2 linked regions of the Cricetulus griseus genome follow. The protein of the gene in region 1 interacts with the protein of each later gene in a pairwise test. Links are inferred from orthologs where the notes say so. Each region holds a gene or a part of one and is shown on either strand. Other genes may lie near its edges.

What was found. The genes of interacting proteins can lie anywhere in the genome.
Region 2: the proteins of Neil2 (region 1) and Meox1 interact in binary tests that used the Homo sapiens proteins (3 or more experiments, as listed by UniProt). The two-hybrid records come from large-scale screens. The link is inferred for Cricetulus griseus from reciprocal best matches to the Homo sapiens genes NEIL2 and MEOX1.

What each region holds. Positions count from the first base shown.
Region 1 is NW_023276807.1:218,223,569-218,228,352, reverse strand, and holds the start of Neil2 (endonuclease 8-like 2), read left to right. Parts: upstream 1-1,481; 5' UTR 1,482-4,177; coding exon 4,178-4,375; intron 4,376-4,784. UniProt on the Homo sapiens protein: Involved in base excision repair of DNA damaged by oxidation or by mutagenic agents. Has DNA glycosylase activity towards 5-hydroxyuracil and other oxidized derivatives of cytosine with a preference for mismatched double-stranded DNA (DNA bubbles).
Region 2 is NC_048600.1:116,217,166-116,220,526, forward strand, and holds part of Meox1 (homeobox protein MOX-1), read left to right. Parts: intron 1-2,216; coding exon 2,217-2,389; intron 2,390-3,361. UniProt on the Homo sapiens protein: Mesodermal transcription factor that plays a key role in somitogenesis and is specifically required for sclerotome development. Required for maintenance of the sclerotome polarity and formation of the cranio-cervical joints.

The sequences.
Region 1 (4,784 bases):
TCTTCCACTCAAAAGCATTACTGCTTATTGAGCCCTGAGGCCTGCTAGATACTGATAGCTTTGGCTAGCCTCGGGAGAACATTTGTACATCACTGCAATCACAAAGATATGGATTTGTTGAAATTCTCGTAACTACTATAGAACCGGTCTACTGAATTTCAGAATCCCACTCCCATAGAACAAGAAACTTACAAGCTAGGGAGACCCTACACAGCCTGAGTTGAACAATTTTTAGCTTATGAGCATTTCCTAACTAATATCTCAAGCATCCCCTCAACAAAAACAAGACCGCCCAGCATTGGGGGGAGGGAGCTTGTCAGAAAGGCACACTGCTTCTCATAATGTAAATGTCTCTGAGTGACTTACATACACATCAGAGTTTGCAAAATATGGCTTTATGTCTATAACACCATGGCACAGATGTCCCATTTAGAGACTAGATTTAGGTATTATGGCTGGCTTGTTTTCCCACAGCCAATGACAAGGCAGTCTAGGTAAAGATTTTACAAGGTGTCTTACATAATGCATGCTCAGCGAACTAAAAAGGTGATTTTAAGTGACTGCAGCAAATTGTGAACCATTCATTTTCTCGATTGTGTGTGTAACCCCCTGGCACAGGAGTGCACTGTATCCTGTAGCAGATGTGGGAAAGTATACTCCAGTACTTACACATAAATAGGTACCCCCCCCTGCAAATGCCCCGCCCTCAAGCTCACCTTCTGCCTCTAAAAGGACCTTTGCCCCTCAGATGTCAGAGGCCTCCTGCTCTCTGCCCTACCGCAGGTAGGTGGAAGGCTAGCTGAACTGCTCATTGAGGCAGGGCTGTCTTCCCTGTGCTGGCCAAGCCCTCCTCGAGCCCTCAGTTCCCAGGTTCAGGGTCTGACACCTTAGCCACCTCCTGTAGGCCTACTCAAGAGTTCTCCAAAAGTCCCTTAACTTCCTGTAAAGGACTCCCACCCTTCTTGGAGTCCTGTCTTTGAACAACCTGCTACCATCTTTATTCTTCCAAATAAAAATTTTAATACACAATAAAAAATTTAAAGAGTATAGTAAAAATTCAAACATCATTAAAATAATATAAAGTAAACCAAACCTCAGTCTTTCAAAGCTTTACAGACCAGGTTTGCTAGCTGTGTTTAAAATTCCGGCACTTTAAAGACTAAGACTGGAGGAGTTCAAGGGTAGCCAGGGTTACACGGTGAGCTCCAAGCCAGCCTGCATTAGACTGTGAGGCTTTGTCTGAAAAAGCCAAAACCCGTCATGTTTGTCTTGGCCTGAACCACGCAAGACCACTGGCTTCTGAGCGCTTGCCTTTTCTTGGTACCAGTCCACTCTCTCCTGGATCCTGGGAGTTCGCAAGCTGGCGGGGTGGGGTGGGAGGAGAGAGTAACGGAGGGGCTGAGAGGGGTGGTGGTGGGAGGTATGGGGTTAGGGCTGGGGCGAATACACTCCGAGAGTGCCTCAAGCGAGGGTAAAAGCTTAGAGAGTTGCAAGTCGGCTGGTCACTGCCGGCAGGAGACAGCAGCATCCCTCCTACCTATGGGAGCAGCCTGAGTAGAAGAGCCTGCAGTCCCGATCTCGAGGCGAACCCCCATCTCCAGGACAGAAGCCCGCAGCTCTCCAGCTCGGGGTGCACCTCACCTCCAGCACCCCCAGGGTAAAAACTTACAGCTCCTTCATCGCGAAAGGCTCCCATCTCCAGCGCTCCCAGGAGAGAAGCCCGCAGCCCTACTCCCAACTCCCGCCCCCAACGAGCTCGGTCCCTGGAGTGCCAGAAGCAGCTTCCCGCCAACCCCAGGAACTCTGCGGCCCCAGGCCACCCCGCCTCCCGCGCTCAAGCCTATTGAACCGGTCGGAAGTTCCCCGTCCCCTGTGCCCCATCCCCAGTCCTCCGCGCTCCCCGCCCCAGTCCGGAACTGGAAGACGCTGGCGGATTGCACTCCTGCTGCGGTCGCTGGGACCCCGGATCCCGGGGAGTGCGGCTCTGCGAGCCCCTCGGCCCCCTCCCCACCTTCCCGGGACTGCACTCGTGCACGTTTTCAACACAACTTTCTTTTTAATCTTTGGTGAAAAGTGAATTACAGAAAAATTAAGCAGTGTCTCTTATGGACACGCGCAGCCAGGTCGTATTTTTGTTTTTGTTGATCACGTTGCCTTCCGCTCCCCTCTCGCCCCCGCCCTCGTGACCTTCTCGTGTTTGCTCCCGCTTCAGTCACACTGAAGATGCCTCAGACTCCGCCTGGCACCTAAAACGCTGCTTGGCCACCGAAGAGGGACCACGTTCTGCTTGCCTGGCCACCTCGCCCTACCAACGAAGCACAAGGTTCTTATTTTCTCATCTTATCTCTTTCCTAACCATCAAAGCATGCCCATGGGCGGAGAGTTGTTTGTTTTGATACAGGGTCTACGTGTAGCCAGGGTTCGCTGTGTAGACCAGGGTGGCCTCCAGTTCCCTGAAATCCTCCTGCCTCTGCCTCTGAGGGTGCTAGGATTAAAGACTTGCACCACCACACCCGGCTCACGGTAGAGATTTTAAGATTACGGTTCATTGCACAGGCGGGCTTTTCCAGAACCTTCTCTGAGGAAGGCCAGGCCGACTCTGAACTGAGAGGTGGTTAGGGTGCCAGTACCTGGCAAGCTGCCTTCCAGCCCAGTAGTTTCCCCTGGAGTAGATGAATAGTTACCACATTTCCAAGAGTGTGGGTGGGAATCCAAGTGTGGACAAATTTAAGTATTGCATTGAAGCTTGGGACTTAGCGCAGTTGGTAGAGGGATTGCCTAGCTTGCAAGATGCACTGTTTGAGGATAAAGCAGGAGTGGTGGTACTGTTCCGTAATAACAGTACTATGGGGGTAGAGGCCATCCATGCACTATAGAGTGGACTATAGGCTTCTTGGCATCTGAAATATGGGCAAACCTGTCTCAAGACAGAAAAGAAAAACAACATTATTGAATATGTTGCTTATGAATTATGAGAATTCGTGGAATGACTAAGATATTCTGTTTATCCCGATTCTCTGGTTAAAATGTATGTTTTAAGTGTCTTAGGGAGACACTTAATTCCAGTACTCACACTTGGGAGACTCAGGCAGGAGGATTGCTCAGAGTTCAAGACCAGCCTGGGGTACAGAGTGAGTCTTGAAAAACACCACCACCACCAAAAGCAAGACAAACAACAACAACAACAACAAAAAACAACCAACTGCTTTTAGAAACACTGAAATAATAACTACCTGCCATGTCCCTTTGTCAGTTTTCACCATGATTTATGGAGCCTAGTGCCGGTGAGTGGCTGATAAGGTTAGAGGGAACCTTGTGTGTGTGTGTGTGTGTGTGTGTGTATGTGTTTTTTGGGGGGGGGCGTGTTGTGACTTCCACTCAGTGAAAGCAGGATGTAGGCCACTCAGGCTGCCTCACCCTGGTGCCTCTCAGTGACTTTGGGTGATTGAGAACAGGGAAGGAAGGGGTGACAGGCAGTCCAGCCTTGCTTTTACTGTGGCTTTTCAGCCATCAGGCATATTATCAGGAGTTAAGCTGGTTGGTAGCTCTCTTGCTGGCTGGTGTCTGCTTGTCAGTTTGGAGATCTGCCAGCACTGTGGTCACAGATAGAAAACCACTCTAAGAGACCTGGTAAGTAGTGAGTATCTCCCTCCCCTGAGGTGGCCCTGAGAGAGCCAGATCCAAGTATGGATAAGTGAGCAGAGGGTTGATTGCTTTGGGGGTGGGACGGGGAAAGACAGAAAACATGGAGATGAGTTAGAGGTCTAATATACCCGGCAAAAAGGAATGAGGAGTTGTTGCAGGCCTGTAATCCTAGCGCTTGGGAGCACAGCTGGAACTACGTAGTACATAGTAGTCACCTATAGCTGCATAACAAGACTCTGTCTCAAGAAATGAAACAAATAAGGAGTGGCAGACCATTGAGGTGGCGTGCCATTGAAGTAGACAGTGCCTGCTACATGACACCAAGCATGCTATGTTGATTATATTTGCTGCATGGATATTGGGTGAGGGACTAGGAAGAGAAACCATTGCTGCGAAGCTGGCCCTGAACCCTGCCCCAGCTCAGTCTTCTCTGAGATCTGATCCCCCTACCTCAGTCAGGCTCCAGATTTGGAATATATACTCTTGAAGTGGTTGACCCAAACTGGCTCCTTGGGGTACAACACCATCAGACATGCTAGAGAGGACCGAGCTAAATGGGTGTGGTCTCCTTTGCCACTTTCTATCTGCAGAGATGCCAGAAGGGCCATCCGTGAGGAAGTTTCACCATCTTGTCTCCCCTTTTGTGGGCCAGAAGGTAGTCAAGACTGGGGGCAGCAGTAAGAAGCTATGCCCCGACTCCTTCCAGTCTCTATGGCTCCAGGATGCCCAGGTGAGTTTTGCTTTCCCCAGGTCTCACTCCACCTCCCCAGGTGACATCTCATGACGTTTTATGTTTAAGCATTGGACAGCCATGCTAGGACTGCATGTGGCCCTGCTCTTTCAGTGTGATGTTTCCTGTCACAATGGAATGGGAACGTGAAGAACATACAAAAAGGGCCTGAAGACCCCATGCATAATCTGGAGAACTTCTCTCCTTGTCTTACCTGCATCTTTGGTGTGGTGCCCGTGACCCCCATAGGCCAGCTGCCAAGTAAGGAATGAGCACAGTTGAAGATTTGGATTCAGACCTCATCCTGACTGGGAGCCAGAATTCCTTCAATTCCTTCAGCGTGATCAGGGACTCCCTGTGGACTTACCCCTCCCTCCCTGTCTCTCTGGCCCTTGCACCCAGCCCCAAG
Region 2 (3,361 bases), on another chromosome or scaffold:
GGAACTGAAACATTGGAACAATTAATATCTTGATGTTTGCCCTATAACTTAGGTTTTAAGAGCATTCCCACACACATTAGTTTATCCAGGTCTTCCCGAAGACATGGAAACCAAGATTCCTGTGTTGCGTTTTTTGAGAGTATAGCCTTGGCAAGCCAGGCATGGTGCATTGACCCAGCACTTGAGAAGTGGAGGCAGGAAGATGAATTCTTCCACTGCCGTTCAAGCTTGAGGCCAGCCCGAACATGAAATTCTGTCTTTAAAAAGATTAGCTTTGAAAGTAGGTGCTTTATTTTCTCCACTTTCTTGGGAAAAAGATCAGTTGAGATTGAATCCCCATTAAAACTCCCCTGGCCCATCCACTCCCTGCAACTGCGACAAAGAGGGGCTGGGAAAATCCGTGGCCCCGGGACAGGGGTTCCCCAGCTTCCTGGCCTCAACTGGCTGAGATGTACTTGGGGAGGCCTTCGCATCCGCTGCTTCGTGACCGACACTGCCGGGCTTGCCGCCAGGAGGGTTAGTGGCGCTGGCAGTGGCCAAGGCCAGAGGACTCCTAGGGGACCCGCCCCGGGGCTGCACATCCTTCCAGTCCAGACCACGCTGCGGCTGCTCCAGCATCCATGACGGGTCTGGGCCCACCTTTTCTGGCCAGGAGCCAGTGGCTGGCTCACCCCCTCCCTTAGCCTGTGGGGGGACTCCACCGTGGACCCCATTGGGAGGTGAGCGCCCTCCCCCACCCCACTCCTGTGACTTCCAGCCACCCTCCTGGTTTCTCCCCAGCCCAGACAGCCGGATGAGGAGATGACAGCTAAAAAAAAAAACCTAAAGTACAAACAGGTTGCCTGAGAGGGGAAGCAGCCAGGATCAGAGTTACAAATGGGATCTCAGGGTTCAAGTGGGGTCCCCAGCCATCTCCACAAGTTGGCTTCGAAGCTGAGGGTGTAGTGCTTTCCCTTGCCTGACTCATCGGGCCTGCATCCTTTCCTGCAGGTGCTCAAAGTCTCTGAGGACTAAGGACCTCAGCTAGGTGTGTACCAATGTAATTAGATAGAGCACAGCTCGCATAAAACATATTTCCTGACCCAGGGTCTCCAAGACTAAAAAGAGGTATGGAAGAGAAAGCCCGATGTCTTATGTCCCCCTGCCCAGGCAGGAAGGGTTCCTGTGGCAGTTGACTGTCCAGTCTTGTTAGTTGTTAGTTAATTCTACAGATGTGTTCGTCCCCTGCCTATGGCCTCTGTCACTACAGCTGTCAACGGAGAGGCACAGCCAGCAGCCAGTTCTTGAAATAGGAAGGCCTTTTCATTCTAGATGCAGTCTGTCCATCTGCACCAGACTTCACAGTCTGTGAACTGTGAACAAAACTATCTCATACTGGGACAGTGTATGAATCAAATCGCCTGGGTCCTCCCCCACTTAGCAATTAGGTGAATTCATTCTTGTGTTTGGTCTGTAAAACATGATCAATACTGAAACCACTCAGTTGGATTAGTGTGGAGAGGATGAAGCAAATGCAGGTAGGGACACTGTTTCCTGGCCCTGTCATGGGTCAGGACTGAACCCCTATGTCTAACAGAAGCCCAAGAGTTCCAGAAGGTTCTCCAGACTTGCCCTTCTGGAGCAGACTCCAGTGTGTATGACCAGCTTCCCTGTCCCGTTGACACTGCTGGGGCCCAGGGAATATTCCAGCAATCTGGTCTTAAAGCAGTGGTGTATAACCTTGACCCTGCACCGGAATGATCAGGAGGGCTTGTCAAAACAGGTTGCTGTGGGGTTGGGGTGGGCGATGCTTCAGCTTTTAGCACTAACTGGGTACAGAGACTTCAGTCAAGCCCAGTTTCATGTGCCTTGGAGAAATCTTGTGGGTGTGTTAGGGGGAGGGGGTTCTGAATGCACCTGAGACTGGGACTAAAAATATTTCTTGAGCATCTTAAGAATGACAGAGGCTGGGGCTGGAGAGATGGCTCAGAGGTTAAGAGCACTGACTGCTCTTCCAGAGGTCCTGGGTTCAATTCTCAGCACCCATATGGCAGCTCACAAACTGTCTGTAACTTGAGTTCACACCAATGCACATAAAATAAAGTTAAATAAATCATAAAAAAAAAGAATGACAGATGCCACAGAATGCTGCCCAGCTATTTAACGGACTAATGGAAGGGAACTGAGTCCCTGGCGGCTCATTCATGTCTCCTCCATTTGGGGCCTTCTCTTCACAGACAACCAGGAGAATGGAGGAAAACCGGAAGGTAGCAGCAAGGCCCGGAAGGAAAGGACCGCCTTCACCAAGGAGCAGTTGCGGGAGCTAGAGGCTGAGTTCGCCCACCATAACTACCTGACCAGGCTGCGTAGATACGAGATCGCAGTCAACCTGGACCTTTCAGAGCGGCAGGTGGGGTCCCTGGCTTGTCAGAGCTTCTCTGCTGTCCATTCATCTCCCGTTACATGGCCCCTGCCTGAACACCGTTCCTTTCCTCTACCCAGCCAGTGGTTCTCAACCACTACTGTGCCTGACAATCAACCATCTCAGGGAGAATTATCAGAGTTCTACTCATGGAGGTGACTGTAATTGGTCTGGGATGGAACTTAGGCAGCCCAGGTTTTCAAAGGCCTCCCAGGTAACTCTCATGTGACCAAGGATTAGAACAGCTGAGATCTGATTTCCCCCAAACTTGAACCAGCATTTGCCTCCGATTCACCTAGGCAACTGTTCAAATGGAGATTCTGAAAACCAAGTGTTGTGGCACCTACCTGTAAACCCCAGCACTTGGGAGGTAGAGACAGGAGGATTGTGAGCTCAAGGCTACCCTGGGCACAGGGCACTGAGTCCAGCCTAAGGAACTATCTTCAAGGAAATCAAAAGATGTGCTGGGACCGGACGTTGGTGGCGCACACCTTTAATCCCAGCACTCGGGAGGCAGAGGCAGGCAGATCTCTGTGAGTTCGAGGCTAGCCTGGTCTCCAGAGATAGTGCCAGGATAGGCTTCAAAGCCACACAAAGAAACCCTGTCTCGAAAAACCAAAAAAAAAAAAAAAAAAAAAGATGGGGCTGGGGATGTAGCTCACGGGTAGAGTGTTTGCCTAGCATGCAGGAAGCCCTGGGTTTAATCCCCACATCACAAACAGGGCATGGTATCATGTCTGTAATGCCAGCACACTGGGGAGGCTGAAGTTAGAGGACCATACGTTCAAGGCCATCTTTAGCTGCATAATGAATTCAAGGCCAGCCTGAGCTACATGAGATCCAATTTAAAAAAAAAAAAAAGGGTAAAAATCTAGATTCCAGGGAACAAATTTGCAGTAATAATGAGTAGAACTGAGAATCTGCATCTGAATTAGTTCCCAGATATACAGCTGGGTCCTG